Linked DNA regions of Canis lupus familiaris. The protein of the gene in region 2 binds, or shares a complex with, the protein of the main gene of each other region. Links are inferred from orthologs where the notes say so. Each region holds a gene or a part of one and is shown on either strand. Other genes may lie near its edges.

Region 1 (6,799 bases), on a different chromosome or scaffold from region 2:
TAAAGCCTGTCTCATATAGTGTTAAATATTTAAACATTATAACTGCCATTTGAATCACCCCAGAGTTTCTCAGCCTCAGGCACTTAAGGTGGACAGTTGGGAACAATTGCCTAATAGTTTTTTTTCCCCCTCCTAGGTTTCTGTTAGGAATTTCTCCTAAGTATTGTGTCCATCAGATTGCAAGGTCTCTTGCATCAGGTAAGATCTTTAGCAGGCCTCTTCTTTGAAGAAGCCTTTCTTGAACATCCTTCTCTGAGGTTGACTTAGGCATTTCTGTCTTTCCATATACCCCTAGCACCCACTTCTGCCACTGTCACGGCCCTTAACACACTCTTAGTTCAATAGGCATGTTCCTTACTCCTCCCCCTCCTCCCAGGCTCAGGAAAGTCTTGGGGGCAGGAACCCTGTCACTGCTTTAGAGCAGATCATCAATACATGCCTATTGAATGAGGAACAAGATATTTTAAGCTCTAACATCAGATTCAGCTGTGTGACTGACTTCTTTATATCCCTCATTCTGCCTTTTATCCAGCAGATGTCATTGGACTAAAGAGAAGCACTGTTTACCTGTGTCATCCGTTTCTAGGGCTCAGCACATTTCTCCAGACTTTATGTTTTAAAAAATCCATGTCTTCTCATGCTGTCTGCCAAGCCTTACGTGCTCAGCTGGGATGAAAATCGTAGACAGGGAGACCAGCAGTAGATGTGTAAACTGTTGATTAATGCTGACAAATATCAAATACAAGCAATGCAGTCAAAACAAAAGAAAAATATTTGCATACTAAAAACAGGACAAAGAACATTGTTAAAAATGTTGGCTTTGACATAGACCTTTTCAGTGTTTTCTTTCCTTCAAAAAATAGGGCAAATTGGAAAATAAACACATTCAATTTTAAGGGACCCAAATTTAAGAAAAAGTAAAATGAAGAGGGAAAAAATCTGGGAAAGGTGGAGGAAAATATATTCTCTCAACATATTTGGGGTTAACATACATATTTCTGTGAAACAAAAAAAAAACTTTTAACACTGAGTAAAAACCACATTTTACTTTAAATAATAAAGTGAAATACAAATATAGCCAGAATTGAATAATTGGAATCCTCTAATTCATCATCTACCTAGCTATCTTCCCTAACTGTGTGACTCTTGACATATTCCTAGGATGAAATTATCCACGACTAGGCAGCACTGTATCACTGCTCTGAGTGAAGGGGCGATAAGGGTGAGGATTTAAATTTGTCATCAAGATAGATCTTCATTTTAAAAATGAAGGAAGAATAAAAAAAATCTGAATCAAGAATTGCCACACAGGTAGACTTAAAGAGGACTCTGCTGTGCTCCTATTTTAAAAGATCTCTACCTCCGGTAAGCTGTCATTTTACCAGTTTAATTTTACTCACGAAAGTAACATCAATGATTAGCTTTGCCCTTAGGAAAGATCCTCCACAGTGGGAGGTGGTGTTGGAAATCTGACATAGGCTCAACTATGAGAAACATTCCTAAAATTGCAATTAATACTACTACTAATAAACAGTGCAGAAAGCCAGCTCTTTATTTGTTTTATATGAATGAATTTAAACCAGATTTGTTGAACAGTTCAGTGTCACTGACAGTGAATGTTTAACAGGAATGCACAGCAGACCATGTTAAAAATGTGGCATTGTCCCAAAGTACAATATGACTAAGACATCCTACATTTAGCAGCACCTTTTTGTAACAGTAACTTAAATGAGCAGGAGAGAAAGAGCATAGGAAAAACTGAAATGGGGTTGACAATAAAACACAGAACTATCAAAAACATTTCCATTTCCAGCATTTTCTAGGTTGACTACAAAGATCATGATTCTACAACTGAGTAGGTTAAGGTTAAGCCTTTGCTGAGTGAAAAGACTAATTTTACATTCCACAAGTCAGTAAAATCTCCCATTGCCCTTGGGATTATTTCTGCATTTACAAATTGAGTACACACATTTACACATATGCCTGCTATACAGTTTTCACATATAGATGCTCATGTCAAATCCTGCAATATAGTTCTTTGAGGAATACTCTGATTTGGACTAGTATGTTTCACAGTAAAGTGAAAAATTAAGAATCCAGGTATGAAGTTTTAAAACTGGAATCTGTTAGCATGACTCTTTGAAAGGGATAAGTGGTAGCAGCAAGTAAGATAAATACCAGTTATACTTCAAGAGTTCTAAATATCCCAAAGTCATTAAACGGGATGAAAGTTTCAGAAATATTTTATACAAGTAACTACCTGGAATATGGTTTCCCAATGATATGAATAGTTTACATAAAAAATGTATATATTATGACTACCATTTTTATATTCAATAAATAAATTTGTCAACAGTTCAGAGCTAATTAACAAAAAGATTAATTCTGAGGAAAATGTTTCTTACATTGAAAGGGTTTTATCAGGTAATATAACTCATTTTTAAAACTGAGTTTTGTTGAAGGGGAAGGGAAATAAGGAGTTCAACGTGAAACAACTTCACTTAGAAAGGTCCCAGAATATTTGGCAAGAACCTGGAATAATCAAAGAAGCAAAACAAAAATAGATTAACTTATTTAACAAAATAATCATTTCATAATGTACAGTCGGAAGTTAGGCAATTATAGATAGGCATTTTTCAGGGCCAAGCTCTAGGTGCTAGGTACCTGCACACCTAATACTGTCTTACCTGTCCAGGCATAACTGGACAAAAGTGTACACAGAAACGACACAGAAGGTTTCAGCCTTAGCGTGACAACCACACTGTGAGCTGCTTACAGCGCTATATCATTGAGGCATGGAGAATAGGATCTTCTGGGTTCCCCTTCAGAGTCGATGTCTAATGGAGGAAGATATTCTTAACGTTTTGTTCACTTCAAGTCACCTCATTTTGCCCTGATTACTTCTGAAGAGCAGAAACTTTGGTTATAAGAAGCACTTCTAGGTTTTGACGGACAGCGAAACTGTTGGGAGTTGGTGGCAGGGAAGGAATGAAGGGGAAATTTCAGGGAGATAAACAACAGGAACGATAGGCAAGGGTAGAAAAGGAGGTGGGGGGAGTTAGAAAAATTTATTTTCCCACGAAATAATTCTACAAGCTGTGTAAACATTTCTTACTAAAACAAATACTCAAACACACAAAGATTGTACATTTCCAGTGAAACACTCACAGTTAAAAGTTGCTTGTATTTTTACTCTCTAGGAGCAAGAACAAGGAGCCAGCAGATAAATGCTTTCCTAGTCACCTTTGGCAGCAAGCTTCCTCACAATACCTGACTGCTCAATGGATTCTCAAAGCAACACGTAGCACAATTAAATACAAAACCATGTGGGTAGAATTCTAGGTATTAGTCTTGAGTCTTCAGCACTCAGCTCCAACCCAGTCACTCGTGCACACTCTTACACACTCTTACACACAGACACACTTGCACACAGAGGTCCGGCTCATATACTCCAGTGCAGTGACATAAGACACTAGCTACTAATAAGAATGTGTTTGTCACAATCAGTGTGAACTGCATGGATTAGAACAACCTTTGGAGTTTGGTTATATTTACCATAATTTATGGTCAAAATTATAAACTTACAAGGATGGTAAAACATTCAGAAATCAAACCTTTTCAAGTCAGGCAATCACATATTTACAGTATGTACAGACTTTCTACTAGAATGGGGAAAGGTGTCTAGACAATATTACAAATTTCCTGAAGGTGGGCATTTCTAGTCCCTGTAATTCATAAAGCAAATCTGCTGACTTGGCATTAAGACTCTAAAATAGTGTGATCCAACTGATATATATATATGTATATATATATATTATATATATAATCATAAGAAGGTGTTTGCAGAAATAACATTTACAAACTATACAGTACACAGTACTAGTACATAGAAAATAGATTCTAACTTTATGATCCCCTTTGTGTAAGGCAAGACTGAATCTGTCCCCAAATTTAGTCAGCCAGAGGTACAAGCAAGAAACAGTGGTCCATGGATAAATGAATATGCAAATTAGGTGCCTACATATTAAAAATCTGGAGAATCAAGAAATTCCACTTTTTATCTGGGCCAATTGTGGCTTGCTGGATACATCAACTACAGTTTTGAAAACATCAACTATGTTTCTTAAAATACTAATGCCACCTGGATGGCAACAGATTTTGTTCAAGTGGCAGCTATCCCAAACAGTTTTTGAAAAGTCCAGTATACAACCGGAGGACTGCAGCCATACCAGGCGAATTTATATAGCACTTACAAAAGAAAAAAAAGTATATTAATACTCTATCATGCTATTGCTATTCAAGCAACAGCAATACAAAGTGTACAAGACAGATCACATATGACTGCAACGTAGACCCCAAAGATGGAGTCTGAGGGTGGTGGTATACAAGACTTAAAAAAAAAAAAGAAAAGAAACACAAAAGGGCAAAAGTCACTGGCGGATATAAACATCCCTGTTCCATTCCCCAGCCTCGTTCCGCTTTTTGGAGATGCCTTCCCCATCCTTGTCACAATAGCGATCCTTGGATTTATGCCGGCTGCGTTGTTTGTTGCACTCGTTGTGGTCCTGCTCTCGATCCAGGTCCCTGGACCGGTGCCGAGACTCCCTGTGTCTGTGCTCACTGCTCCCGTGGGGCTCATCTCTGTGGTTATGGTCACGGTGGGGGGCATAGTGGTCCACGTGTTCGTGGGAGTAATCTTCCTTCGGCTCCACATAGGCAGAGTCTCGACTCTCCTGGGTCTCTGAGTCAAACGTCTCCTGCCTGGAGAGGCCTCGACTCGTCCCACTGCGATGGCCGTGGTGCTGGGCAGAGGAGGAACGGTGCTGGGTTTTCTTGACGGGTTCCGGACAGGCTTCTTCTTCAGCTTGGGACACAGACCGGGCAGGAGCAGAGCGCTCAGTCCTCTGATCTTGAGAACCCTGGTGGGGAAGGGAGCAAGCACAGGCATCAGCCAAGGTCAGATGTCGCAAAAACAGGTCCGTCCATTCATGTTGATGCCCTTGTGAGTTTCTAAAATGAATCTAACCTAGCTCAGTTACTTCTTTTGTTAACATTGGGTGGCATTTACAAGGTTTGTACTATAACATATGAGACTTTGATTTGTAAGTGCCTACAATAGTGTACAGAGTAACTTTTTGTTCCCCCTTGATGACTAAATGAGGGGGGGCATCATTTTATATCTTCTCCTGGGGCTCAGATACAGAGGTCCCTAAGATTTCTCAACACACAAGTGTACATTTCACTACCTCTACTTGTATACAAGTGGGAAGATTAAAATTGCTTAAGATGTTGGCTTTGGCTTAAGGATTAAGGAGAAGAAATAACATGCCACATGCTTACATACCACTCAGCATGAGGAAAGTACTGTCTTATGACAATCTTCTGTATCAAATGAATAATGCAGCAGCCCTATGAGACAGGTTGCCATTTGTCTTCCTGAGGCAAGGGGCAGGTAAGGAGCTTCTCCAACCTGACCCACTCACTAAGAGGTAGAGTGGATTTGGACCAAGGCAGTCTGATTCCATGGTTGTGCTGCTGGCAATGTAGAAAAAGCTAGCCTTGTCCTACAGAACATGTAGCTAGGGATTTTTAAACTTTATATATGTTTGAGTATATTGTTGACATAGTTCTTATGGGTACACAACTCACACTAAAGATAGTAAATGACTCAATGTTTGTCTCAGTGTGGATGGAGCTGCTCTACTGGAACACACGCTGTGCTGGGTAACTGGGCTTGGATCCCAGCCACGTGACCTAAGGCAGCCTAGTTTCTAGAGCATTTTCTTACGAAAAGAGTCCCTCTTACCTGTGAATTAGAGGCTTGAGTGGGGCTACTGGGCAGAGTTGAAGTGGCTAAAGTACGGCTAAGGAGAGGGTTGGGGAGATGGCTGCTGGGAGGGTGGGTAGCCTTCCAGTAGGCCTCCAGATAGTCGGCAAGGTGCTCACAAGCATCCTCGAGCTGGTTCTCGTCCAGGATCACATCAAACAGCTCCTGCACAGGCAAATATTTCAGATGATACACTTCTAGCAGTCCAGCATTGAGTGAGTGGCACACACACTCAAAGGGAAGTGGCTCATGAGCTGCACCACTTTATATTTGCTTGTGTGTACCTGCTTTCTCCTTTACAAACTGGCTGAAATGTCCTGTTGAGTCAGATTGTGTCTGTACAGCTACCTCCTCAGATTATCATTCACAACCCTAGATGCTTAACCAATAGCAATGACCAGAAAGTGAAAGGTGTAAGGATAGTTGGTTAGGACATGATAGAAAAGAGAGGTAAAAAAATAAAATAAAAATATAATCTGAACAGTATAGGAAGAGGTCTGGTTTTGACCTCGAGATTATGAAAAACTTCATTTTGGAAATTTTGTCCTACTCTTACTTTAGGCAAGAGTAGGACATGAAATTTGGCAGAAGAAAGCTGAAACCACTGATGATTTGACAGGGCCCAAACTTCAAAATATTCCAGACAATAAAAAATATAATCATAATTCTAGCTTCTGATATACCTGCATGTCAAAACAAAACAAAAACCTAGAGGTGATCTCTCGTCCCGAAGCATGATATTTAGAGCAGGGATTAGGAAAAGGAAGGTGTTTAGGTGCCAGAAGCCATGTAACTAATTTATTTGAGGCTATGTAAAAACACATTTCTAAACAATTTCTCAGTCATTAAGAGCTGGCAACTTGCTCTCTATTATTAGAAGTGAATAATAAGTCCCAAACAGATCCATTTTTTAAACCAAATTTTTAAAATCACGTTCCACTTAGGATACTAATTAGATATTAACAAAGTGAG
Region 2 (7,565 bases):
ATTTTCCTTACAAAACTTCAAATTATTGTTTTTGAGCTTTTCTTCTAGTCTCAAAATATTTGAATATACTATTCAGTGTATAAGTTTCCCCTCCTAGGTTTCTCACAGACTTAAGGGATAATACTATTTATATATTCATTTGTATCAATGAGAAAAATCTCTATAGATCAGTACTGAGGACCAACTCATGTTATAAGGTATCAGAAATCTCCCTTTAGCTAGGCACTCTCTAAAGGACCTGGATTCTTTGGGCATAGTCATTCATCCAATTTTAGGACTCCAACTAACTGTTATCCACATCAGTCCATCCTGGTTTTCCAGAAAGATATAAGGATATGCTAACAAATTCTTTGCCAAACTGAATGCAAGTCTATGGCATCACCAAACTAGTAACCCTATTACGAAAGGAAATGAAGTTGCTTTTGGGTGCTAGCCTAATGCTTCAGTTTCCTCATCTATAGGATAAGTGAGTAAGTTCAGATGATATTCATGGACCCTTCATGGCTCTAGAATTGATTGCTTGGCATGATAGGTTTGCTTCCCCAAATCCAAAAGCATGGCTCTTGCCTCTGTTGTCTAGCAATGCCAGGAGCCTGGGGACCTAACCTTCAGTAGGTTATGGTGCTTAATCTGACAATTCCAGAAGGGAGTTTCTAGAGAAAACACATGCTATGGCAGGAATTCTCAACCCAAGGCTCTCTAAAATTGCATGCAAAAATTTGTTGGGTTATGTGCAATTTTAGGGGAAGAGAATCCCTAGCTTCTGTCAGCTTTCCAGAGAGGAGACAGGACCTGCTCTGCGGAATCTCTTGGAGGGACCTCAAGAGGAAGGTATGGTGCTCACATTTTTCTTATCTGCCTGTCCTTTCTTCCGTTCCTTGTTTGCCATGATCACCCCAGTGCGCAAGGTTTCAAACACAGGATCATTGTGACTGGCCGCAGCTAGTGGGAATGGGAGAAGAAAGAAGCCATTACTGGGGAAGCAGAGAAAGACTTGAAGGAAAGAGAGACCTTCTAAGTAAGGGAGAGGTGGGATTAAGTAGACGGATACGTGTGTGTGTGTGTGTGTGTGTGTGTGTGTGTGTAGGATTAGGGTGGGGTCAGCTGGGCATATCTAGGTCATCAATCTATAAAGAGCTATAAAAACATCACTGGGAATGTAATGTGATGGAGAAAAATACTTACCAGCACTCCTTCCAGGCAGAGCATTATATGATGTTGGAAAGACAACTTTGCTAATAAGTTGCTTGGGAGTTGGGGAATGCTCACAATCACTATTCTCCTTTTAAGGAGAGTGGTCCTTTAACTGCTGGCTTTTCTGCTGAGTGGCATGTGCAAGCTGGAGTGCTGCCACCAGTGGGTTCTTCTTTTTTCCACCCATGCTCCTCATAAAGATCAGCCTCTCCTCCAAATAAATGTTGAGTAAAATTGTCAACGAATATGTTTGTAAGGGTTGCCAAATTATGAATCTGCCCAGGATGCCCACAGCTCTTGGTCTAGCCCTGAGACTGGTATTACTCTGTCACAAGGATGAGGACAGTCAAGAATCCTTGTTCTTACTTAGACATAGTTTTACATATGAAGAGCCCAGAGTTTGAAGCTAGGCAGATGAAGGTTTCAGTCTTGGCTTTGTCTCCTGCTAGTGGTGTGGAGCCCTCGCTAAATCTTATCTTCCCTCAGCTATAAAACAGGAATACTGACTCTGTATTCAAGATGGTAGGTTGAGCAAGAACCATGGGAAATAGAATCTTTCTGTTTCAGAATTTGGCTTCCAGATCTAGAGGTGGTGCTGGAACCATCTCTAGGCTTGCCCTTTCCCTCGGGTCCCACATGGAGCACTTACAGAGATCTTTGACACAAGCGTACTGCTGGTTGCTGTAGAGTGGGGAGCTATAGGCCCGGTGGAAACCAGGGGGCTGTAGGGTGGGATGGGAGAAAGCATTAGAGACAGCAAGCTATGGCCCAGAACCCCATCTCTCCCATGAGTAAACCCCTTCTTGGGGTAAGAGATGGGCTGAGAAAGAAAAAGCAGGGAAATGGATATGACGACTTGGGAGGGACGGAGGGACTGCAAGGGGGGAGCTGGCAACACGTCCCCTCCCTTCCTTCTCGCTCCCCAGAGCCTACTCACGATCTTGCCGAAGCATCTCTGCATCTCCACATAGGACTGACAGTGCTCGTGGATGTTAGTTTTGCAGTTCTTACAGCGAAGCCCAAATTTGTTGTTGACTTGGGAAAAGCAAGAACATTTGGGTCAAGTTCTCCATTGCCCCTTCCTTTTTGTACCAGTGCTGCTACTCTAGCTCTCAGGTCCCTTTTTGGTCTAGGACCACATTCTCGGGTTTTTTTGTTTCTTTTTAAATATTTATTTATTCATGAGAGACAGAGAGAGAGAGAGAGAGAGAGAGAGGCAGAGACAGAGACAGAGGGAGAGGGGGAGGGAGAGGGAAAAGCAGGCTCCATGTAGTAAGCCCCCTGTGGGACTCAATCTGGAGACTCCAGGATCATGCCTGAGCCAAAGGCAGACAGATGCTCAACTGCTAAGCCACCCAGGGGGTCCCACACTCTCTTTCTAATGGTGTTGATTTTTTATTTTTATTTTTATTTTATTTTTTTGGTGTTGATTTTTTATTTTTTTTTTTAATTTTTTTTTATTTATTTATGATAGTCACAGAGAGAGAGAGAGAGAGGCAGAGACATAGGCAGAGGGAGAAGCAGGCTCCATGCACCGGGAGCCCGACGTGGGATTCGATCCCGGGTCTCCAGGATCGCGCCCTGGGCCAAAGGCAGGCGCTAAACCGCTGCGCCACCCAGGGATCCCTGGTGTTGATTTTTTAAAGATTACTTTTTTATTTGACAGAGAGAGAGCGCGCACGCAAGAGAGGGAGGAGCAGAGGGAGAGGGACTCTCCCCCTCAAGACCTGAGATCATGATCGGAGCTGAAATCAAGAGTTGGACGCTTAGCTTAGCCGGCTGAGCCATGGCTAAGCCACCCCTGAGCCACCCGGGTGCCCCTCTGCTAGCGTTTTCTTAAAGCTGCCTCTTGCTCCAGTCTGCCTGCTATACAAATGCGCCTCTCCTGAGCCCATTCCCCCACCTCCTGCCTTCAACATTACACTCTCTCTACTTCCCTTCGTGACTCACGCACAATCATCCGGGCACAGACATCACAGAACTTGGGCTTCTTGAAGAAATGATCTTTGAATTTGTGAGGCTTATCATTGACAAGCTTAGGAGGTTCTGGGGGTGGCTCTTCCTCCTCTTCTTCCTCCTCCTCTTCCTCATAGATGTAGTAGATGGGCCCACCCCCAGCTCCCACTGCCTCCCCATTGGCCTGGGGCTCTGGGGGAAGCTCCATCTCCTTTGTCCCGGGAGACTCCTTCCTGAATAACTGCTTCAGCCGCTGTAGCTGAGGGTGGAAGGGGATGGGGGAAGGGAGGAAACCCAAAGTTAAAAGATCTGTCATGCTCTCCAGAGCAGGTAAGGCTGACTACTAACTACACATTTTTCCAGTGTGGGCAAGGGGCACACCCCAGGATTAGGAGGTATTGGGGGATGCAGGTGCTGGCTAGCATTCTGACAACGGATCAGTCACATACAAGTGAGATTAATTCAAGCATTCTTGAAGGGCCGCAGTGGCTTCCCAGCTCCCCATACCCAGTGGTCACAGGCCCAGACTCACCCCACTTTGCCGAGTCTCTGCTGGGAAGGAGGGCTTAGAGGACTCCAGCACCTCCTTTTCTGTCATCCTGCAAGAGGTTGGACCCCACTATGAAATCTAATCCCTGACTGCTGTTCTTCCTGTCCTTCACTGTAGGGTGGTTCTTGAAAGGGAGATTTTAGGAGAAATTTGCTTAAACAGAAATCCTTTTACATAGGCTTATCGACAGATTCCATGGAGGTCCAGGGAAAAGCACAGCCGACTAAAGAACTTCCCAACCAGCTCCTGATATCCATCCTTCCCCACTGAGGGGCAACCCAAGTTGACAGCCCCAACACTGTTCAAAGCTGCATGGCTTAGAGATTTTCCTGGTTTCTCCTGGGAATTTGTGGGCAAGAGGGATGTGACACACACCTTCCCAGATCCCTTTTCTTCAAGAGGTTTAATGTGTCCAGAAGCATGCTTGGAGGGATGGGCTGGGAACATCTGTTCACCCATACCCCTTTCTTGAGTCCCGGGGGCCCAGGGCCTAGTTCCCAGCCTGCCTGTCCTCAGCTATTTTAAGTTTTCAGAGTAATATGAGCCTTTCTTTCCCTTACTACTCCATTCCCTTGACCCCACCTCCACCCCACCCTCCAATCCTAGCTCTTGTCCTGGAATAATAATTTCACTCCTAAAACCCCAACTACTCACAAGCAAGAGAGAAACGAAGACATTGAATAGGCTACAGATTGGGGAAGCTGCAGGGAGCAGTTCTGGCAATGGACAGAGGACGAAGAGGCAACTTACGTTTGGGATTCCCTAAGTCAGCCCACAGTCTGTGGAGGGAAGAGGGAGCCCCTGGGGTCTTGATGGTGGTGCTGGGGGAGGACTGGTCCTCTTCCTTGGGGGCTAAGCCCCCCCAGTACCCTCTGTACTCACACCGGCTACCCAGACGTTATTTGTAGACCTCCTAGTCTCTCGCCTTGGTGTCACAGCTGAAATGACAGGGCTGGAGGAAAGTGGACAGCTGAGCGACACAGCTGACACAGAGAAATTGGACACGGGGAGGCCTGGGCTGGGCTGGACCCTAACTCCTCCCATCCCCCAGAGCTGCTATGCCCTGGTTTTTTTTATCTATGGTGTACAGGTCAGTTTTGGCTAAATTTAAGAAGGGACAGTGTCTGTTCATGTTGCATACTTCATTTAGGTGATTTTGGATGACTGAAGATAAAGATGAAATTGTAAACAGTTTTCCCCAAGGTCCAAATACATCTCCAATTCTACCTTCCCTGGACCTACTTTAGAAACTAGCTTTTGATTTTTCAGCCATTGGCTTCTTGTGGCCATGTGTTTTTACACCCTCAAGCACTCATCTAGCTTCAAACCTTTAGGAAGGAAAGAATTTGAATTCTCAGAGGTTTCCTATCAGCCAGACTAGACTGCATCCTTATCCAATAGTGGTGGGAGGGGTACCCTGCTCCGTCCTGAAAGGTAGTGAGGAACATGCATAGTACTGCTTTATTCCCTCCAGTACCCCAGGAACATCTTCCCTCCATTCTAAAATCTTGTCCTCAGGGTGAAGGGAAATCTAAGAACTACTGAAAAAATCCAGGCTGGGACTTCCATCTGAGGGGCTCTGGGGGATTGCGGGTCTGATGGTCAGGTAGGTAGAGATGGTCTTGTTCAGACTGGACAGAAGGCCATAGCTACCACACAGGGCGGGTTTTATCTTCAGTAAGTAACGTCTGCTTCCCCATGAGGATTGCAAACTTTTGGAGATAGGATAGCTGAGCCCCACACTTCGAAATCATTTTGATTCCCTGATTCCATCTCCCTCATCTGATGCCCCAGTATATGAACTTATGGGTCAATGAGATATCTGGCATCTTATCTCGCAGGGATGCAGCCTTCTCCTACTCTGGGCTGTGACATGGCTGAAAGAGAAGATACTCCCATCTCGGAGGACAGCCATTTGGATGTGGTCATGTAGTGCTGCTTTATCCCTTGTATCTGTAAGAAGTAAAGGATTATGTTGGAGGCTGGGTCAGACAAGCCTCAGAGGAGCCTGGCTAGAGATACTGCTACCCACACCCAAGAGATTTCCAGGGTAATGTGCTTTGTCATTTCTGTCACTGCTCTTTTTTCTTTCTTTAAGGGGTGGGTGAGATCGAGCAGGGCCTGCGGGATGGCTCTTAATGGCTTTGGTCTGACAGGCTGCACAACAACAGGGCTAGCTTTGAGAAGCCTCAGCGAGAGGAAAAGCTCCATCCATATGGGGTGGGTAACGTCTGCTTTTCACCTTTCTTCAGTTGCATAGGACAGGGACTGCTGAGTATACCTGGATAATATGGGATCTCGGCACTGCAAGTTCAACTGACATAGCTTTTATTGTAAGAAACATCCACTTCTGTCCTACCATGCAGAACCCAATGGCTTTTGTATTAAAGAAGGACCCAAGTCCTCCATCCCTGAAGAGTTTTCAGAAGATCAGATTCTGGACACATATAAGGCCACCATCTCAACCCAGTTCTGGACCTCGCTCACCCCTCCCAGCTCAGCCACAAGGGACCCTAAAGGAGTATTCACAGAATTAACAAAATGGAAGGAACCTCAGAGGTAGGCCAGTGAGTCCAAGTCTCTTATTTTACTAATAAGGACTCAGAGGTCTGGAGTTGAGAAGTGATGTGTCTGATGAAACCACACTTGGAGAGTTAGGAGAGCCCAGAACAAAGGTCCCATTAGAGACCCAGCCATCTGTCAGAACATTATGTACAAGGACCGGGGTGGGATGCATGGAACAGTGTTAGGAAGATATGTGTGCATAGGCTAGGGAAAGCCATCCTACGTGAAACCCCTCCAATAGCTGTGGGATTGTACCTACCCAGGACCTCCAACCCCCACCCACACCAGGGCAGCAACAGAGAAACAGGGACTGACGTCCAGTGACAGATTTTTTTTTTATATTTAAAAACAAAGTCAACCTCCCCCCAAATAACCCCCCAAACAAACAAAAAATCAGATTAAATAAAATTTACAGTGAATATACCCAGCAAACATCTGTATGTGCAATTAAATACTGTCTGTTACTGCGGCACGAACCTCAAACAAACAATATACAAGTGTTCTGGGAGGTGGGGGGGGAGGCCCAAGTATTAACTCTTTGGGGTTTGGGGAGACAAGATGGGGGAAGTGAGAGAAAGGGGAAATCAATTTTGCTTTTCTTAATTCTGTCCATATAAATATATTCATAAAGACCAGAAATGAAAAGGGAGCTTGGGATGGTAAGGGGATTGAATAGGGGAGTGTGGGACCCTCCCAATTCTATCTGACCAAAAATATGAAAAAAATTAATTTCATGGTGGGAGAAGAGATAAAAAATGACAGAAGAGGATGGGAAGGAGAGGGAAGCAAGGGGGGGCCAACCAGGGAAAATGAGGGGACCCATGGCAGGGGGGGGGGCGAGAAGGAGTCCAGTGCCAGTGTGTCTGTTCCGTCTTCATCCCCACTGTCTCAGGCTCCAGTTCAGTGTCTGTCACCTTCCTTTCTGCCTCTGTCCATGGTCTGTCAGGATCCCTCGATCCCCTCCACCCTGCTTCCACCCCTACTGTGCCGGACCCTTCCCCTCCTCCGTTTATTGGGAGCTGGCTCGCTCCAGGATCCTCAGGTCATAGTTCTTTTTGGCCACTCGAAGTTTGAAGCGACTCACAGAGTTGTTGAGGCGAAGGGAGGCATTCTGGGCAGCCAGGGGGCTGGGAAACACAGCCACGATGGTGTACAAGGCAGCGAGGTCCGCGTGGCGGCCGTTCTCAGCAGTCCCACCGTTGTCCCCCCCGCCCCCGCCAGGCAGCCCCTGAGCATCCTTGAGCCATTGAATCTTGGCGCCAGACATGGCGAGCTGAGTGAAGAGTTTGTCCGCCTCAGT
Region 3 (7,348 bases), on a different chromosome or scaffold from region 2:
ACACTTAAACAACAGAAATGTACTTTCTCCTGGTTCTGGAGGCTGGAGGTCTCAGATCAGGGTGCCAGTACGGTTGGGTTCTGGTAAGAGCCCTCTTCCTGGGCTCACCTCACTGAGTCCTCACGTGGCAGGGAAAAAGAACAAGCTTCTGGTATCTCTCCTCTTAAGCACAGGAGTCCTATCACGAGGGGCCCACCCTCATGACCTCATTCTAACCTAATCACCTCCCAGAGACCTCCCCCCCTCCAAACACCATCACATTGGGGTTTGGGCTTCAACATAATTCTGTCCGTAGCCCCTCGCCCAGGCTAAGCTGGTAAACAGCATTATCTGTGATGCTGGCCAGCACCCCAGCCGGCCAGCACTGCCTTTATTTAGAGACGCAGGAGGGCAGCTTAAGGAGGCCCATGACCTGAGGGAATCCCAGAGGGCAGAGAGGGGCTCTGATGCCCAGGTGGCTGCTCCATCCCTGGCAGGCTGGTTCCCACTCCCAGGACGCCCTCCTTCCCCCTGCCCTGGAAAGGGGAGAGCCCACCCAGCAGGTGCAGATGTCTCCCAGCCCTGGCTCCCAGCAAACGCCAGCTTCCACAGAGCCCCTGCCCTGGCCCAGCAAGGTGCTGGAGAGGTGCACAGGGGGTCTGACAATGGCCTCAATGAGCAAAAAAGGTCTGATTGGAGAAATTTTGCAAACAAGGGGTAGGGGGGGTTGGAGGGTAGGGGTAGGGGGTGATCACCTGCAACCCCCTGCAATCTCCATCATGGCAGATTTACACAAAGACGACTTCAAAGGAAGAGGCCAACCGTCTTTAATGCTCTGCTCACTGGGATGGAGCACTCAGGACTCCCCCACCCCAAGAGAGGTCAGAACAGACCTCATTTCCCCAACTTAGGGCACTTAGTTCATAGCTTCTTGTTTTCCTATCAGATTTTCCACCAACTTTCCTCTCTTCATCCCACTGGCATAAAAACACTCAGATTTAACCCTTCCTCTGGGTCTTTGTTTCCCGTGCCAAGGCTTCCGTGCCATGGAAAACTTACAGGGAATAAGTTTGGATGTGTTTCTCTAGTGATGGGAGCCTACGCTGAGGACTTAGAAGGGCAGAGGAAACGGATACTTTTGCTCCCCGTAGCCACAGTAGATCCTGACCTCTCCTCCCAGCTCCAAGCATTGCTTTAGAGTTCGGGCTCTGGGTTCTGAAGCCTGGCTTCACCATCTATCTCCTTGCTGGGTGACCTCGGACAAGTTGCTTCGTGTGTCTGGGCCTCTGTATCCTTACCTGTAAAACGGACGTAATAGTCACACTCACCTCACGGATTGGTATGAAGCTTAAAGGCAATGGTGTGGAGGGAAGCCTCGGTGGTTCAGTGGTTGAGGGGCTCCTTCAGCTCGGGTTGTGTTCCCGGGGTCCCAGGATGGAGTCCCACATCAGGCTTCCTGCAGGGAGCCTGCTTCTCCCTCTGCTTATGTCTCGGCCCCTCTCTCTGTGTCTCTCATGAATAAATAAAATCTTAAAAAAGGGGCGGGGGGGCAATGATGTGGAAAGGTTTACCACAACACGTGATATACAATAGATACACAAGATGCGCGGTTCCTATGATTATCGTTATTATTAACAGTCTGTGACTCCAAGGCTGGACGCCTGAGTGCTTCTCCGCCCACAGGCAGAGTATTTCTGTGAGCTGTGTCAGCCTGAGGCTGGGATTTTGAAGTCAAAACCCTGCCCAGCTCAGGGGTCTATTCTTGGCCACACACTAGCCTCTTGGATAGACCCTAGAAGAGGCAACTGGTCAATTGATAAAGAAGAGATGCAGAGGGGCGCCTGGGTGGCTCAGTCTGTTAAGCATCTTCCTTCGTCTCAGGTCATGATCTCAGGGTCCTGGGATCGAGTCCTACATCAGGCTCCCTGCGTGGAGCCTGCTTCTCCCTCTGCCTATGTCTCTGCTTCTCTCTTTGTGTCTCTCATGAATAAATAAAATCTTAAAAAGAAAGAGAGAGAGAGATGCAGAACCCAGGAGGGATCCAGGGGCTCGAGCCTGGGGTGGGGGACATACGGGCTCGCAGGACTCTCTGGGGGCCATCCCAAACTGTCCTCTGTCCTCTGCTGTGTCCACACACCATCAGCCTCTTCACAGTTCCCTGCCGACCAACCCACTTCTGTTGTTTTTAACTTAAATATATTTATTTTGTAAATGAAAACAGAACTGGCGAAACGTTAATAGAAGTAAAACTCAAACAGTAAAATAAAAACAGAACGACAGTCAGGTCCAGCTAGATTCCTTGTCCTCTCCAAGCTAGTCTTTGATTCGCAAGCATCAGAAAGGTTAGCTAAAGACTTCCTTTCCTTCTGGACCCAGTTGAAGGGGTGGGAGGAGAATTGAAAAGGAAAAAGCATTCCCACGCCAGGCACAGTGCTGGGTAATGCCAGGCCCAGGAACCACCAGGAATCTTCCCGCAGTTTAGGGTTGTGCTAGGACTTGAGGCTAAAGCCAGGGAGGTGGGCCCCTGGTGGTTCTGGTGGAGGAGCCCCAAGATGTCCCCACGCAGGCTCCTGCATTCCCCAGACCCCCAGGACAAGGACCCACTCACACCCCTTTGCACTGGTGACCGGCCTGCCCAGTGTGGGAGCTGGGCTGTGGTACCTGTGTCCCGCAGGGTCCCCTGCCGTCACCCAGCTGTATCGCCTCCTCCTGCAGCCCAGAGCAAGCACATTCCCACACATCTAGTATCCCTGTGGCCTATCCCTCACTGCCTCCAACTCAGGTATCCTGAGCTGCTAATCGTGGAGATCCCAAGTCACCATCTAGAGCCTTCTCTCCCTGCCCCTCCTTGAGGTATTTTAGGTCTCAGGAGGGAAAGAAAGTCCTGAAACCCGAGGAGAAGCTATCCTCGGTGACACGCCTGGGATGTGCATTAATAGAAGCCTCCCTCAGGCCCCTGACACGTCTGGGCAGCTGCTCAGCCCCGTCTGGTGTCCCTCAGCCCCGAGGCCAGCCCACTCTGGCTCAGCCGGACGCACTAAACTTAGCTTCCACCCCCAGCTCGATAATCACCGCCACCTCCCCAGCCTGGCTGCCACCTGCGCGGGACACACTGCCACCAGACTGTGCCCAGGGCACCCACTCCTCCGCCACCACCATGTCCCAGACCAAAGCGCCGAAGGTCCGCGCGACCCTCTTCTGCATCCTGGTGGGCATCGTGCTGGCCTTGGTGGCCGTGGTGACCGACCACTGGGCCGTGCTGAGCCCCGAGGTGAAGCACCACAATGCCACCTGCGAGGCGGCCCACTTCGGCCTCTGGCGGATTTGCACCAAGCGCATTGTCATGACTGACAGCAAGGACAAGACGTGCGGACCCATCACCCTGCCTGGGGGTAACGTACCCACCCTCTGACCCCATCCCTGCCTCCTGCCCTGCTTCCTGCCCCTGGAAAAGGTGCCGCTGGGAAAGAGGGCAGGTTTCCCTGCCTCAGAGCAGAGATCGTGCCCAGCCTCGGTGCCCAGGGAAGAGGATCCGAACGGCCTCTGTCCTACTGGCCAGGGCCGCTTGTAAAGCCAGGGCGCCTGTCCCTCTTTCTGTCCCGCAGAGGCTCCCGGCCTTCACCCTGAGCAGGGGGCTACCCACCTGGGCCTAACAGGCCTGAGGCCCTGGCCCCCGCAGTGGCCACCCTTCTGGGTGACCCCGCTTTCCTTTCTCCCTGCACAGACAGGTTCAGTGGCCCTAAGTCCTCAGGCTGCAGGGACATGTGCGGCTGGCACGGTCACTCCCCAGGGTCAGCCACCAGATTTGCACAGCATAGCGCAAAATGAAAACGCAGGGCTCTTTGTGAATATTTTTAAGGATTTCGAGATGGTAACAGTGACGCACGGAGCCGAGTGTGGGTCCCTTCTGTGTGCAGGGCCTTGGTTGACCGCAGAAGCCACACATCTGTAAAGCAGGGCCCGGTCGTAGACGAGCCTCCCGCCTTTTGTCAGAACTGTCACACCTGCACATCCTCTCTTAGCTCAGACCCCTCGGAGCTGGGATGCGTGTCCTCCTGCTCTGATTTCAGTGCGTTCCCCAATTTTCCTACCCTGTGACCGAACCGCACATCCGAGGTGAGCTCCTCGTGAAGGATCAGGGTGGTATTAGGGTGACCAGTCTATGCTACAAATGCGGAGCCCTCCACACTCATAGCGAACAGAGCACACGCTGGGGAAAGAGCCCTGCGTGGAGAACCAGAGGACTGGGCTCTGCGTGCATTGCCCACGACACTCCAATGACTCTGGGGTCCACCATGCCCATTGCGGCCTCTGCTTCCCCCTGTAAAATACAGTGTTCGGGCTCTGCAAAGCCCCTTTCAGCCTTTACAAATGGCACCGTAAGGTGACAGTGGGCCAAGGCGAGTACAGGGACCCACCTGCCTTGCAGAATTATTCCCTCTGTTATCAGACTGGGTGTTCCTTGAACCCAGTTCCTTGAACTTTCAAGGAAGTCAGGGCTAAGTCCCCAGAGATCTTGCAGTCTGTGCATGGGACAAAGGAGCCCAAACCCCATTCCTCTACTTCTCCTTTTCCTCCTCTTTTCCCTCCTGCTGGCTCTAGAAAACCCCTGCCTCGCTCATTCCCCCTGGACACACAGAAGACTCGTAAATACCCAGCTGTCTTAGAAACACTGCGTCCCCGGGCCGAGGGCTTTAACAGACGTGGACATGTGCTTGAAGGGTATCACGTAGCTCACATGTCCGCGCTCCTTCAGCCCCGGCCCAGCACAGCCGTAAACAGATGCATCATCCAGCCAATTCCCATGGGTGGGGCAGGGCAGGGGGAGGCAGATTCTCCACGGACCACGCATGGGAGTGCCCTGCCATGGTCCCGTCCACCTGTCCTCAGAGGCACCCACCTTTTAAAGTCTGCTGAGTTTATAGAGCAGATGAGCAAGGAGGCGAGGCAAGTCCATACAAGGAAGGGACAAACTAGCAAGAGGTTAGCTGCACAGGCCCGACAGGCATGGTTTGGTCCTGACCCTGACCAGAGTCTATCTCTACGCCTTCTTGCCCCGCTCCAGAGTGAATCATACCTCCCACGCTTGTGAGCCCAGCCCTACCCTTGACAAGCTTCTGAAGTATGTGCCAGCAATCTCCCCTCTCCTTTCTCTGCAGATGGACACCTTCCCCACCCACCTTTCCTGTGCTCTGTGGGGTTACTTTTTTCTAGAGGGAGGAAGAGAGTGCATACATGTTCTCTCGCTTATTATTAATAGCAGTAATAGGGACCGCAAACACAAATCTGCCAAATATTGTTTTCAGTGCCTCCCATCTTTTAACTTTGAATGACATCAGAAGAAATGGCAGGGTAAGAATCCCCCTAAATGTCTTCTCCATAAAGACAATGAGAACTCTAGCAAAACACGGTCAGAACAAACCTTTTCAGAACCCTGGACACTAACGAATCTTGCAGCAATCCAGTGAGTGCTTATTCAAGAAAAACAGGTGAATCTGAGTCAGAATGGTGAGTTTTGTGGTGCTTTAACTTGCTCTATTTCTGTTCCCCACTCCCCAAGTCTATTAGAGCCTTGAAAACCAATAGCCTGCAAACAGTGTAAATTTAGCCCCCAAAGGGGACAGATGGGGCTGGATCTCATTCAAAGCCTCATTCCCAGAGAACTGTCATTATTTGATCTGCCTGGTGGTTCCCTGGAAGTCCCCACTTGTAAGGTTGTCTTTATTTGACCTGATGCTGAGCTCACTCAGTGGAAACAGTCTTTTTCTCAGGGGGCATTTGGCAAAAACAATTAGAAGCAAATGTTTAATAGCATAATTTCCTGAGGCAGTAGACAACAGTTAGGGCAAACAATAGGCTACCAAAACAGCTAGAGAGTTAGATGTCCATAGGTGGCTTGGAAGAGCTCCAACAAGGATGCCTGGGTGGTTCAGTGGTTGAGCATCTGCCTTCGGCTCAGGGTGTGATCCCAGGATCCTGGGATCAAGTCCCTCATTGGGCTCCCTAGGGGGAGCCTGCTTCACCCTCTCTCTGTGTCTCTGCCTCTCACTGGGTGTCTCTCATGAATAAATAAATAAAATCTTTGAAAAAGAAAAGAAAAGCTCCAACATATTCCTGAGAATTTGGAAGGCCATGTGCATGCACAGCGCTGTATGGTGCACAGGAAAGCCCAAGAAGGCCCTAAGCTCTCACCTCAGGCTGATCTTGAGGCTGTGGGAAAGCAGAAAGCGGCGGCTAAGGCAGAAATGTGGGCTGCTTGGCGGAGTACTTAGCTCTCTGCTTAGCACAGAGCCCCTCAGTAAAGACTAGGAGGTGTATTAGTCCAAGCATTTTACAAAATGTGAGCTGATTACCAAACTAACTGAGCAGAGTTCAGAGGTCACACATAACAAAGAAAACAGACTTTGCAAAATTAATTAGGTCACTAAACAAACCATAATAAACAGTGAGCAAATCCTAGGGAAGGGTGAGACTCTGATTTCCAGAGTTGCTCATTATATTGTTTAAGTATTTCAGCTTTAAATTTAAATTTTAAGTTGAAAAAAATCACAAGACATGTAAAGAGGTAAAACAGTATGGCCCATAAATAAGGAGGATAAAGCCAGTCCATAGATCCTTAAGGAAACCAGATATTGGTCTCAAAGACTATAAATCAGCTATTTTATTTTTTTTAAGATTTGATTTATTTATTCATGAGAGACACACACGCGCACACACACACACACAGAGACAGGCTGAGGGAGAAGCAGTCTCCATGCAGGGAGCCTGACGTGGGACTCGATCCCGGGTCTCCAGGATCACGCCCTGGGCTGAAGGCGGTGCTAAACCAGGCTGCCCTAAATCAGCTATTTTAGATACACTCAAATAACTAGAAAAAAAAAAAAAGTCTAAACAACTAAAGATGAGAATGATGTCTCATGAAATACAAATTATCAATGAAGAGATAGAATTTATTGTAAAAGGACCTAATAGTGTGAGTTCAAGACCCATGTTGCACTCTGCACTGGGCATGGAACCCAGTTGGGGTGTCTGGGTGGTGCAGTTGGTTAAGTGTCCGACTCTTGGTTTTGGCTCAGGTAGTAATCTCAGGGTCATGAGATCAAGCCCCACTTCAGGCTCTGCACTCAGTGCAGAATCTGCTTGAGATTCTCTCTTCCTCTCCCTCTGCCCCTCTTGCTCATGCTCTCTCTCTCTCTCTTAAATAAATAAACAAATCTTTAAAAAGAAAACATACACACACACACAAAAGAAAATAAAGTGCCTAAGAGAAATCCTGGAGTTGAGCACTATAATAATTGAAATGGAAAACTCACTAGAAGGATTAAATAGCAGATCTGTGCAGGTGCAAAAAATAATAATAATAAGTGAA
Region 4 (7,370 bases), on a different chromosome or scaffold from region 2:
AGGAGGGATGAGGAAAAGACTGAAGAAAGATCTTCCTGTCTATGTACTTAGAAGATGCTGGGATGAAGGGCCCTTGTCTGACCCTCTCAAGTCAGGCCTGGGCTCACATATGCCAAGTGTTGTGGAGATAGAAGAATCAAAAAGGGCCTCACTCCACAATCTGCCGTGGATCTGCCGGGCACCACCCTCATTCTCCAGCCCAAGGGGGGCTGACCTCCCTACTGCCCTATGCTCTCATATGCCCTACCCATTTCCTCTTCAGCATCCGCCCTTTCCTTGTCTGATCCCAAGCCTCTCTCGCCTTTTTTGGGTACCAGGTTTTGTTGAGATGCTCTGTAGTCATAGCAACCACATGCCTCTCTGGCTGCCTCTCCCTGAGCCTGAGATGGCCTGGGGTTGACATTAAGAACAGAGAGAAGAATGGCATCTTCCTGACTGGGAAAAGAAGACCCCAGAAAGCTATTCAGCCTCCTTCAGCCGGGGGTGCTACTCTCTAAAACCCCCTCCTGCCCTGGCCTCCTCCAACCAGCGTACCTTCTCTCAGCATATTTAAGAACAGTTAGCTGGACGTGAGGAGGGCGTTTCCCTGACCCATACCTCACCAAAGCTCCAGGGACCCAAAGGACCTGGTTCCTCATTTCTTAGGCTCTGCCTCTACCCCACGCTGTCACAGGTTCTGGGGGAGGACATGGAAGCAGACAGCCGGCAGGGGGAGTGGGTGACAGCCTGAAGCAAGCTAGGAGGAGGCAGGCCAGGCTGTCCCTGAATGAGATGACGCAGGCAGGCAGGCAGCAGGGGCTGGTGCCTGAAGCTGGGGGAGGGGCAGGGCGGGGGCTGAGGGAGTGGGTGCAGGCTGACAGTATGTGCCGGAGAGGTCACGGGCTAAGGGTGATGGGATGGTTCCAGGCAGGGGGCAAATGACACAGGGGAGGGTACCTGGAGAAAGCCTCAGACTCAGCTACCAATGCTGGTCTCCACCAACCAGCCACCTCCTTCATCTCAGCCCAGCCTCTCCATTACCTGGCGGACAAAACTGTTGGATGTCGTATCCGAGGACGTGCTCCCATCTGACCTTTTGAACCGCCCTTTCCTCTTGCTGTATTTGCCCTGGAGAGGCCAGAAAGGGACAAGAGTGGAATCAGAAAGGGCCGTTCCCAACCCTCATCCCATCAGGCCCCAAGCTACAGCCAGGCTTTGGGAATATCATTCCCTGATCCGAAGAGCCCCACCCCCCATCTTCTTCTAGAGATGGTACAGCCTGAGGGGGAGGAAGGGCCCAGACCACAGCCCTGGGGTGGGGGACAGTGGGAGAGAGTCTTAGGAAACACACATGAAACCCCCAAACCAAGCCAGAGAGTCTGGGAACAGGGAGGCGCTGAGAAGCTGGAAGCTCATTAGGCAGCAAAGCTAATTAAGATGCCGGGCAGGCTGCAGAGGCCTCGGGGGAAGGGAGAGGCTGCCTGCAGTGTGAGGACGGCAGAGGGAGCTGGGGAAAGACCCCTCCTTCTCCCCATCAGCTGGAGCAGAGGGGGGTTGAGTGTGCCTGTGGCCCCCAGAGTGAAGGGGAATCACCAACCCGAGCCCAGCTTGGCTTTCCCTGAGCCTGAATCTTGCCTTCATTTTTCCGCAGAGTGGGGAGGGGAGTGGCAGCTCTCAGTTCTTGGGAGACCCAAAACTACATTTCAGGGGAGGGGATTGTGGGGGGGGGGGGCATGGAACTGTATTTGGAAAGGAAACATCTAACCTCAACCCAGCCTAGTGTCATGGGGGAGGGGTGGAATTAACAGCACCCCGCCCCCCAACCCTGGCAAGACTGTTTCTCAGCCCCCTCTTCATCCTCACAGTGGTCACACCTCTCCCCAAAGGGGGAGAAGGATCAAGCTTCCACTCTCTAACCCTTAGCTGCCACTGCGCATGCCTGGTGCCCATGGTACCTACCGAGCTGCAACAGTCATAACACCCCTTGGCCCTACCCCAAGAGAAGCTTAGGACACAGCCCTCAAAGTCCCTGGGGTAGGCCCACTCAGTCACACTGGGCTCCTGGCTTGGGTGGAGTGAACACTACCTGACCTCTGGAGCAGCCACACATTCAGGTGTTCCCAGGCCACCTATCAAGGGGACTGCTTCCTCGCCCTCCCTAACTCACATACACACTTGGCCCAGGCCAGTCCAGAGTTTCTCTGCCAGAGAAGCTAGATGGGGTGGGAGATGAGGGTTCAGGCCCTCCACGCTCTTGTCCCCAGACTCAATCCTAGAGTTTCTTTGCCAGAGAAGCTAGATAAGACATGATCAGACTGGGGACTCTGGTTCCTCAGACCTGAATACAAGGAGCATGGATAGATGGGAGAGAAAGGTACCCAGGAACCCTTCAAAAATCCACCCTCTCACCCCCTTCTCTCAAACCAGACATATCTCCAACCTCTAGGATTGAGGATCCCTACAAACTTAAAAGGATCCTCCACCACCACCACCACCACCCCCAGGATGGGAAAAGGGAGTGGCACCCAGAGAGACAAGGGACAGCTGAAAGGAAGGCCCCAGTCAGCTGCCTCCCAGGCTCCAAGGGGCCTGGGGTGGAGAAAGGAGGTATTTTTAGGTCTAACCTGACCCCCCCACACACCAAGCTCATCAACCACATTATCATGGTGGTTACAGTTGCTCCAGGCTGGTCACAGCAAGAAAAGAGTTAATGGTATCCCAGCCTTGGGGTGCTGCCAGATTGGAGAATGGCCTTGTCCCAGAGAAATCCCTTGACATGACCACCCCAGACCCTGACCAGTCACCCCAGACTCTGCTTGTCACTCCGTGGGTATGCACCATACCCAAGAATGCCCCTTCCTGGGGATAACTCCAGGAAAAGTGTGACTGGGGGTGGGGCGGCAGACACCCTCTCCCCCCAAACCCCAGGTAACATAGCCTCCTCCCTTCCAAGACAGTGAGTTGGCATCCATCCAACTTTCCAAACTTTGGAGGCGTTTTCTAAGGCTGGGAAGGGGAGGGGGGGAGAGAGGGAAAGATAACGTGGGTGTTGGGAGAGGGAAGGTGGTCCAACAGGATGTAGCTGAGGTGCCGGGATGGGGGCCTAGCCCGGGGCCGACCCCTTCCCCACCCTCGAAGGCCAGCGTCTGCGGCTCCGAAGGCCTGCTGGCACCGCCCTGACCCCCGCCTCGGCCAGCTCCCAGGGCCACCCCCGCCCCACCCACCCCCGCCTGGCGCCCCCGAGCGTGCTCTGCGTCGCCCCCTTTGCCCGAGCTCGCTCTCCAGCCTCCGTCAGCCCCCGGATTCCCCACTCTCAATCCCTGCAGCAGGTACCCCGAGCAGCGAGGACCCTGCCGCGGGGGAGCCGAGGCGTGGTGACAGGCGGCCCGACCGCCCCCTCCCGCTCCGAGAAACCGCAGCCCAACTCCCGGCCAGGCGCCCATCAATCATTAACCGGCAGGGGCCGGGGGTGCGCAGGCGCCCCTCGCCCCTCGCCGCCGGGCGCATAACTCCTTCTCGCCCGCGTCCCCGAGCCGACCCCCGGGGTCCGCGGGAGCGGCCCCCTGCCCTCGGGCCCGGCCGCCACACCTCACCTGCGGGCTGGGGTCGAAGACCTCCATGGGGATCTCCTGGGAGGGCGGGTAAGGGCTCCGGGACATGCTGGTCTTCTGGACCATGGAGAGGAGCCTCTCCTCCCGCCGCCGGCCCGGCCCGGCCGGGCGCCCTCAGCGCATGAGAGAGGCCGTCGGGACCGAGAGCCGCGCAGCGCAGCCGGCGCCCGCTCCAGACACCTGGCCCGGCGGCCGGCTGCCCTCTCGCTGCCTCCCGTCCCTCCTCCGGCTCCCTCCGCTGCCGCCGCCGCCTCCTCCGCCCCTGAGGGCTCAGCATCTCCCCCGCCCCCTCCGCTCCCACCTGCCCCGCCCTCCGCCCGCCCTCCCGCCGCCGCCGCGGCCCCGCCCCTCGCAGCCCCTCCGCCCGCTCGGCGCAGACAATGGGAGGGCGGCCGGAGGGAGGCACGCCCCTCCCGGCCCTGGAAGGGGGTGAGCCGGGCCTCGGACTGGCCCCGGGCGAGAGCGCCTGCGGCGGGGCGTGGGGGGGGAGTGAAGCCCGGCCTTGGGGCTGGGGGCGGGGGCTGCGGTTTACCAGTGGATGCTGAGCGCTGATGGAGGTGAAGCGCGGATTGCCCCCCCCCCCCCCCCCCCCCCGTTCCGTCCCAAACCGCTCTCCCTTCACAGGTCGGCCCATTCCACTCCAGTTTGGGCCGCCGGAACTTCCCAATCCCGTTGATCCTGGGACCCGGCTTTAACTCCTTTCTCCCCGGTGTGGGCCCAGGCTGCCTTGAACCAAACAGAAAGGCCCCTCTCCCTCCCGCAGGACGCTGCCTTCGGAGGCTGAAGCTCACGCTGATGCTGGGGTGATGAGAATGTCCAAAGGCAGTTCCAACACAGACAGCAACCAGAAATCCCAGGGACCCAGGTGTCCTTCTGCCTTTGTCCCTCATATCCCCCCCAGGCACTTCCAGAAGGCAAGGTCCCTGTTTCTTGGAAGAGAGAAGAAAGAAGAAGAAATGTGGGAGATGAAAGAGTGGCTAAAATCGGATCTAGTGACTTTTGATCTAGAACTGCCCCCCCTTCATCCTTAATTTGGGGACAAATATCCAAAGCCTGGACTCCACTCACCACAACCTATGGAGAGAAAAGTAGGGCATTCTGTCAAAAACTGGTATTGGGGCACCTGCCTGGCTCAGTCCATAGAGCATGTGGCTCTTGATCTCAGGGTGGTGAGTTTGAGCCCCACCCTGGATACAGAGATAACTTTAAAAAAAAAAAAAAAAAGAAAAGAAAAAAAGAAAGAAAGGAACTCTGGTGTCAATTTGGTTCAGGCTCTTTCTGGTCACGTGGTCCTGGACAAGTCACTACACTCCTATAAAATGGGGTTGCCGATACTGTAGTCTTTGTCACCTGGGATTCTTAGGGGGATGAGGGAGAATGAAATCAAATGATGGACTGCTCAGGTGTTTGGAGATGCTGCAAGGTGCTGAGCAGAGGTCTCTCATGGCAGGAGGAATTGTTATCTCTCTACCCTACCCCTTACCCTGCTCCTCAAACGGGAGGTGAGAAGTAAAATGAAGATTTGCCCAGGTTCAGTGACCCTAATATAAAGGCCAGCCTCCTGTCTCCTCCTGCTAGAGGAGAGACTGTGGGATGGATACACTGACTCCTTTTCCTCACCCTGGGTTCTACAAATGGATGGGCAGCTTAAGCTGTTTCTCTGATCACATTGAGGGAGAGTAAGAATAAAGCACATCAGCATTGTTCTATGAACAGATCCAATACTGAGCAGGGTTTTGATCTGTCCCTTGGGCACAAGAAAGCTTGGTACGACAGAGAAGTCATAGATATTGAAGTCAGAAAGACCTGGAATTTCAACTTTTGCCACCTCTCTCAGCTATAAAATGAGGATCACACTAACTGTAGTTTTGAAAAAGTGGCAAGTTTTGCTTCCCTTCCTCTCTTTCCTCAGCTGCATTTAGCCCCCAAGAAAGTTCAGATGATAGAGATGGGTGCTCAGCTAGAGCCAAGCAGAGTTAGACCCAGAACTCAGATCTAAGTCTCTTGAACCCTAGAATATTCTCTTTGGGTTTTTGCATTGGGTGTTTCAGAGTAGGAGAAAAGAACTATGGATGACCCTGTCATTCCATCTTTTTGTTTTGTTTAACTTTGACAGCTATTCATTTACTCGGCCAATGCACTATTTCTCAAGTGTTTATTATATATGCAAAGCTCCATGTGAGCCCAACGAGACTGGTTCCTGTCACCTAGAAGCTTGTCTTAATGCTCTCTTTTGCAAGTTAATACATGTGGTTTTCACGACGGATTACAGAAATATGAGGATTAGGTACACTTTACAAAGGAACAAACTGAATCGCCATAAGATTAAGGACCAGAGTGGCGCAAAAACACAAATATCTTTGGTGGGCGCCTGTGTGGCTCAGGTCGTGATCCCATGGTCCTGGGATCGAGTTCCACATTGGGCTCTCCACACTGAGCCTGCTTCTCCCTCTGCCTGTGTCTCTGCCTCTCTCTCTCTGTGTGTCTCTCATGAACAAGTAAAATCTTTAAAATATATATATATACATATATATACACATATATACATATATACACATATGTACATATATATATCTTTGGTGATCTATCCTGTGCTGCAGGGGTTTCCCAATGTACTGGAAGAATGAATAAAAGGTTGCTCTTGACTGATATCTCCCCTCGTTATCTTCTCTCACTCCACTATTTTTTTTTTTTTTCGCTAAGAAAACATCATTCCAAAGAACCCAGAACGCCTGCAAATAGGCCGCTCTAGCAGAACTACGTCCCGCCTGCGGCATCCAGCCGTGACTTCCGGCTTCCAGTACCCACGTGACCGGCCCCCTTGCTGCGCATGCCTATTAGGAAGTCGGACTATACCACTTTGCCTCACCGAAAGGATACATTTTCTGTGTTTTTAAGTTTAAAACCGACTCCCGAAACTAGATTCTGCTGTCTCGGTCTTCACAGAGGATAGGATTGAGTTTAGAGTGTCAGAGGATGAGAGGACCGGCGGGGAGTAGGGGCTCAAGCGGAACAGGGGATGGGCTCTCCCCCTCGCAGATAGTGGGAGGAGCCCGGCCAGGGGGAGTTCTTTCCTTTCGGCGCTGCGGCCGCAGCCATGAGGTGAGGGCGCGCGGGGCCCTGATTTTGGTTGATCCTAAGTGTCGGCGGGCGGCGTGGTTTGCTCCCCTGGCCCCGGGTGGGAGAGATGAAGTGGAGACAGCCCTGAAGCAGCCGGTCCCGGAGCTTGGGGCTGGCCCGAGCGCACTAGGCCCCGGCCTCGGCCGGCGGGGGGTGGGGGTGGGGGGTGCTTCCCGAGAACGCTAGGCCGCGGGAAGGGTGGGCCTCGCACCCCGTGTGGGTTGCGAGCGGCTTGCCGGGACAGTGGAAGGGCCGCCGCAGCGACTAGGCTGTGGCCCCCTTACTCGTTGGGCGCCCGGGATCGGGCCGAGCTCTGCTTCCATGTGACGTAGGACAGGTCTCGTCCAGGCCTCGGGCCTCAGACTACTTAAGAGTGAGGCGATGCCTTCCACCCCGTGGGCGATTCATAAGAAAACTCTTAGGCTAGCGGGACGTAAGTTTATTAGTGTGATAAGACGAGGGAAACAGGCCCAAGGGAAACTAACCCAAGGGCTAGACGAGCAAATCAGACCCTCCAGCCTCGGGTTCTTAAACGCCTGTTCCAGAGCTCATTACCAGAAAGAGCATAAGCCCCCTCTTCATCCCACTTTTATCCATAAACTTCCTTTCCCAGAGGAGAAAACCGAGGCAGAGGAGTTAAGGCATAGCTTGGTCTATGTG

What was found.
Region 1: STAC3 (region 2) and CACNB2 share a complex: the UniProt entries of both Homo sapiens proteins name them as parts of the calcium channel complex. The link is inferred for Canis lupus familiaris from reciprocal best matches to the Homo sapiens genes STAC3 and CACNB2.
Region 3: STAC3 (region 2) and CACNG1 share a complex: the UniProt entries of both Homo sapiens proteins name them as parts of the calcium channel complex. The link is inferred for Canis lupus familiaris from reciprocal best matches to the Homo sapiens genes STAC3 and CACNG1.
Region 4: STAC3 (region 2) and CACNB1 share a complex: the UniProt entries of both Homo sapiens proteins name them as parts of the calcium channel complex. The link is inferred for Canis lupus familiaris from reciprocal best matches to the Homo sapiens genes STAC3 and CACNB1.

The regions. Positions count from the first base shown.
Region 1 is NC_049223.1:17,481,753-17,488,551, forward strand, and holds the end of CACNB2 (voltage-dependent L-type calcium channel subunit beta-2), read right to left. Parts: intron 5,993-6,799; coding exon 5,807-5,992; intron 4,920-5,806; coding exon 4,431-4,919; 3' UTR 1,528-4,430; downstream 1-1,527. UniProt on the Homo sapiens protein: Beta subunit of voltage-dependent calcium channels which contributes to the function of the calcium channel by increasing peak calcium current. Plays a role in shifting voltage dependencies of activation and inactivation of the channel.
Region 2 is NC_049231.1:1,727,043-1,734,607, forward strand, and holds the start of STAC3 (SH3 and cysteine-rich domain-containing protein 3), read right to left. Parts: upstream 4,632-7,565; 5' UTR 4,451-4,631; intron 3,825-4,450; exon of another isoform or gene 3,750-3,824; 5' UTR 3,749-3,749; coding exon 3,683-3,748; intron 3,410-3,682; coding exon 3,145-3,409; intron 2,230-3,144; coding exon 2,132-2,229; intron 1,917-2,131; coding exon 1,844-1,916; intron 1,401-1,843; exon of another isoform or gene 1,186-1,400; intron 943-1,185; coding exon 845-942; intron 1-844. Other genes in the region: R3HDM2 (R3H domain-containing protein 2), read right to left, coding at 5,531-5,653, 7,350-7,565. UniProt on the Homo sapiens protein: Required for normal excitation-contraction coupling in skeletal muscle and for normal muscle contraction in response to membrane depolarization. Required for normal Ca(2+) release from the sarcplasmic reticulum, which ultimately leads to muscle contraction.
Region 3 is NC_049230.1:13,484,009-13,491,356, forward strand, and holds the start of CACNG1 (voltage-dependent calcium channel gamma-1 subunit), read left to right. Parts: upstream 1-2,970; 5' UTR 2,971-3,136; coding exon 3,137-3,371; intron 3,372-7,348. UniProt on the Homo sapiens protein: Regulatory subunit of the voltage-gated calcium channel that gives rise to L-type calcium currents in skeletal muscle. Regulates channel inactivation kinetics.
Region 4 is NC_049230.1:23,127,202-23,134,571, reverse strand, and holds the start of CACNB1 (voltage-dependent L-type calcium channel subunit beta-1), read right to left. Parts: upstream 3,840-7,370; 5' UTR 3,657-3,839; coding exon 3,573-3,656; intron 1,108-3,572; coding exon 1,021-1,107; intron 1-1,020. Other genes in the region: RPL19 (60S ribosomal protein L19), read left to right, coding at 6,688-6,692. UniProt on the Homo sapiens protein: Regulatory subunit of L-type calcium channels. Regulates the activity of L-type calcium channels that contain CACNA1A as pore-forming subunit.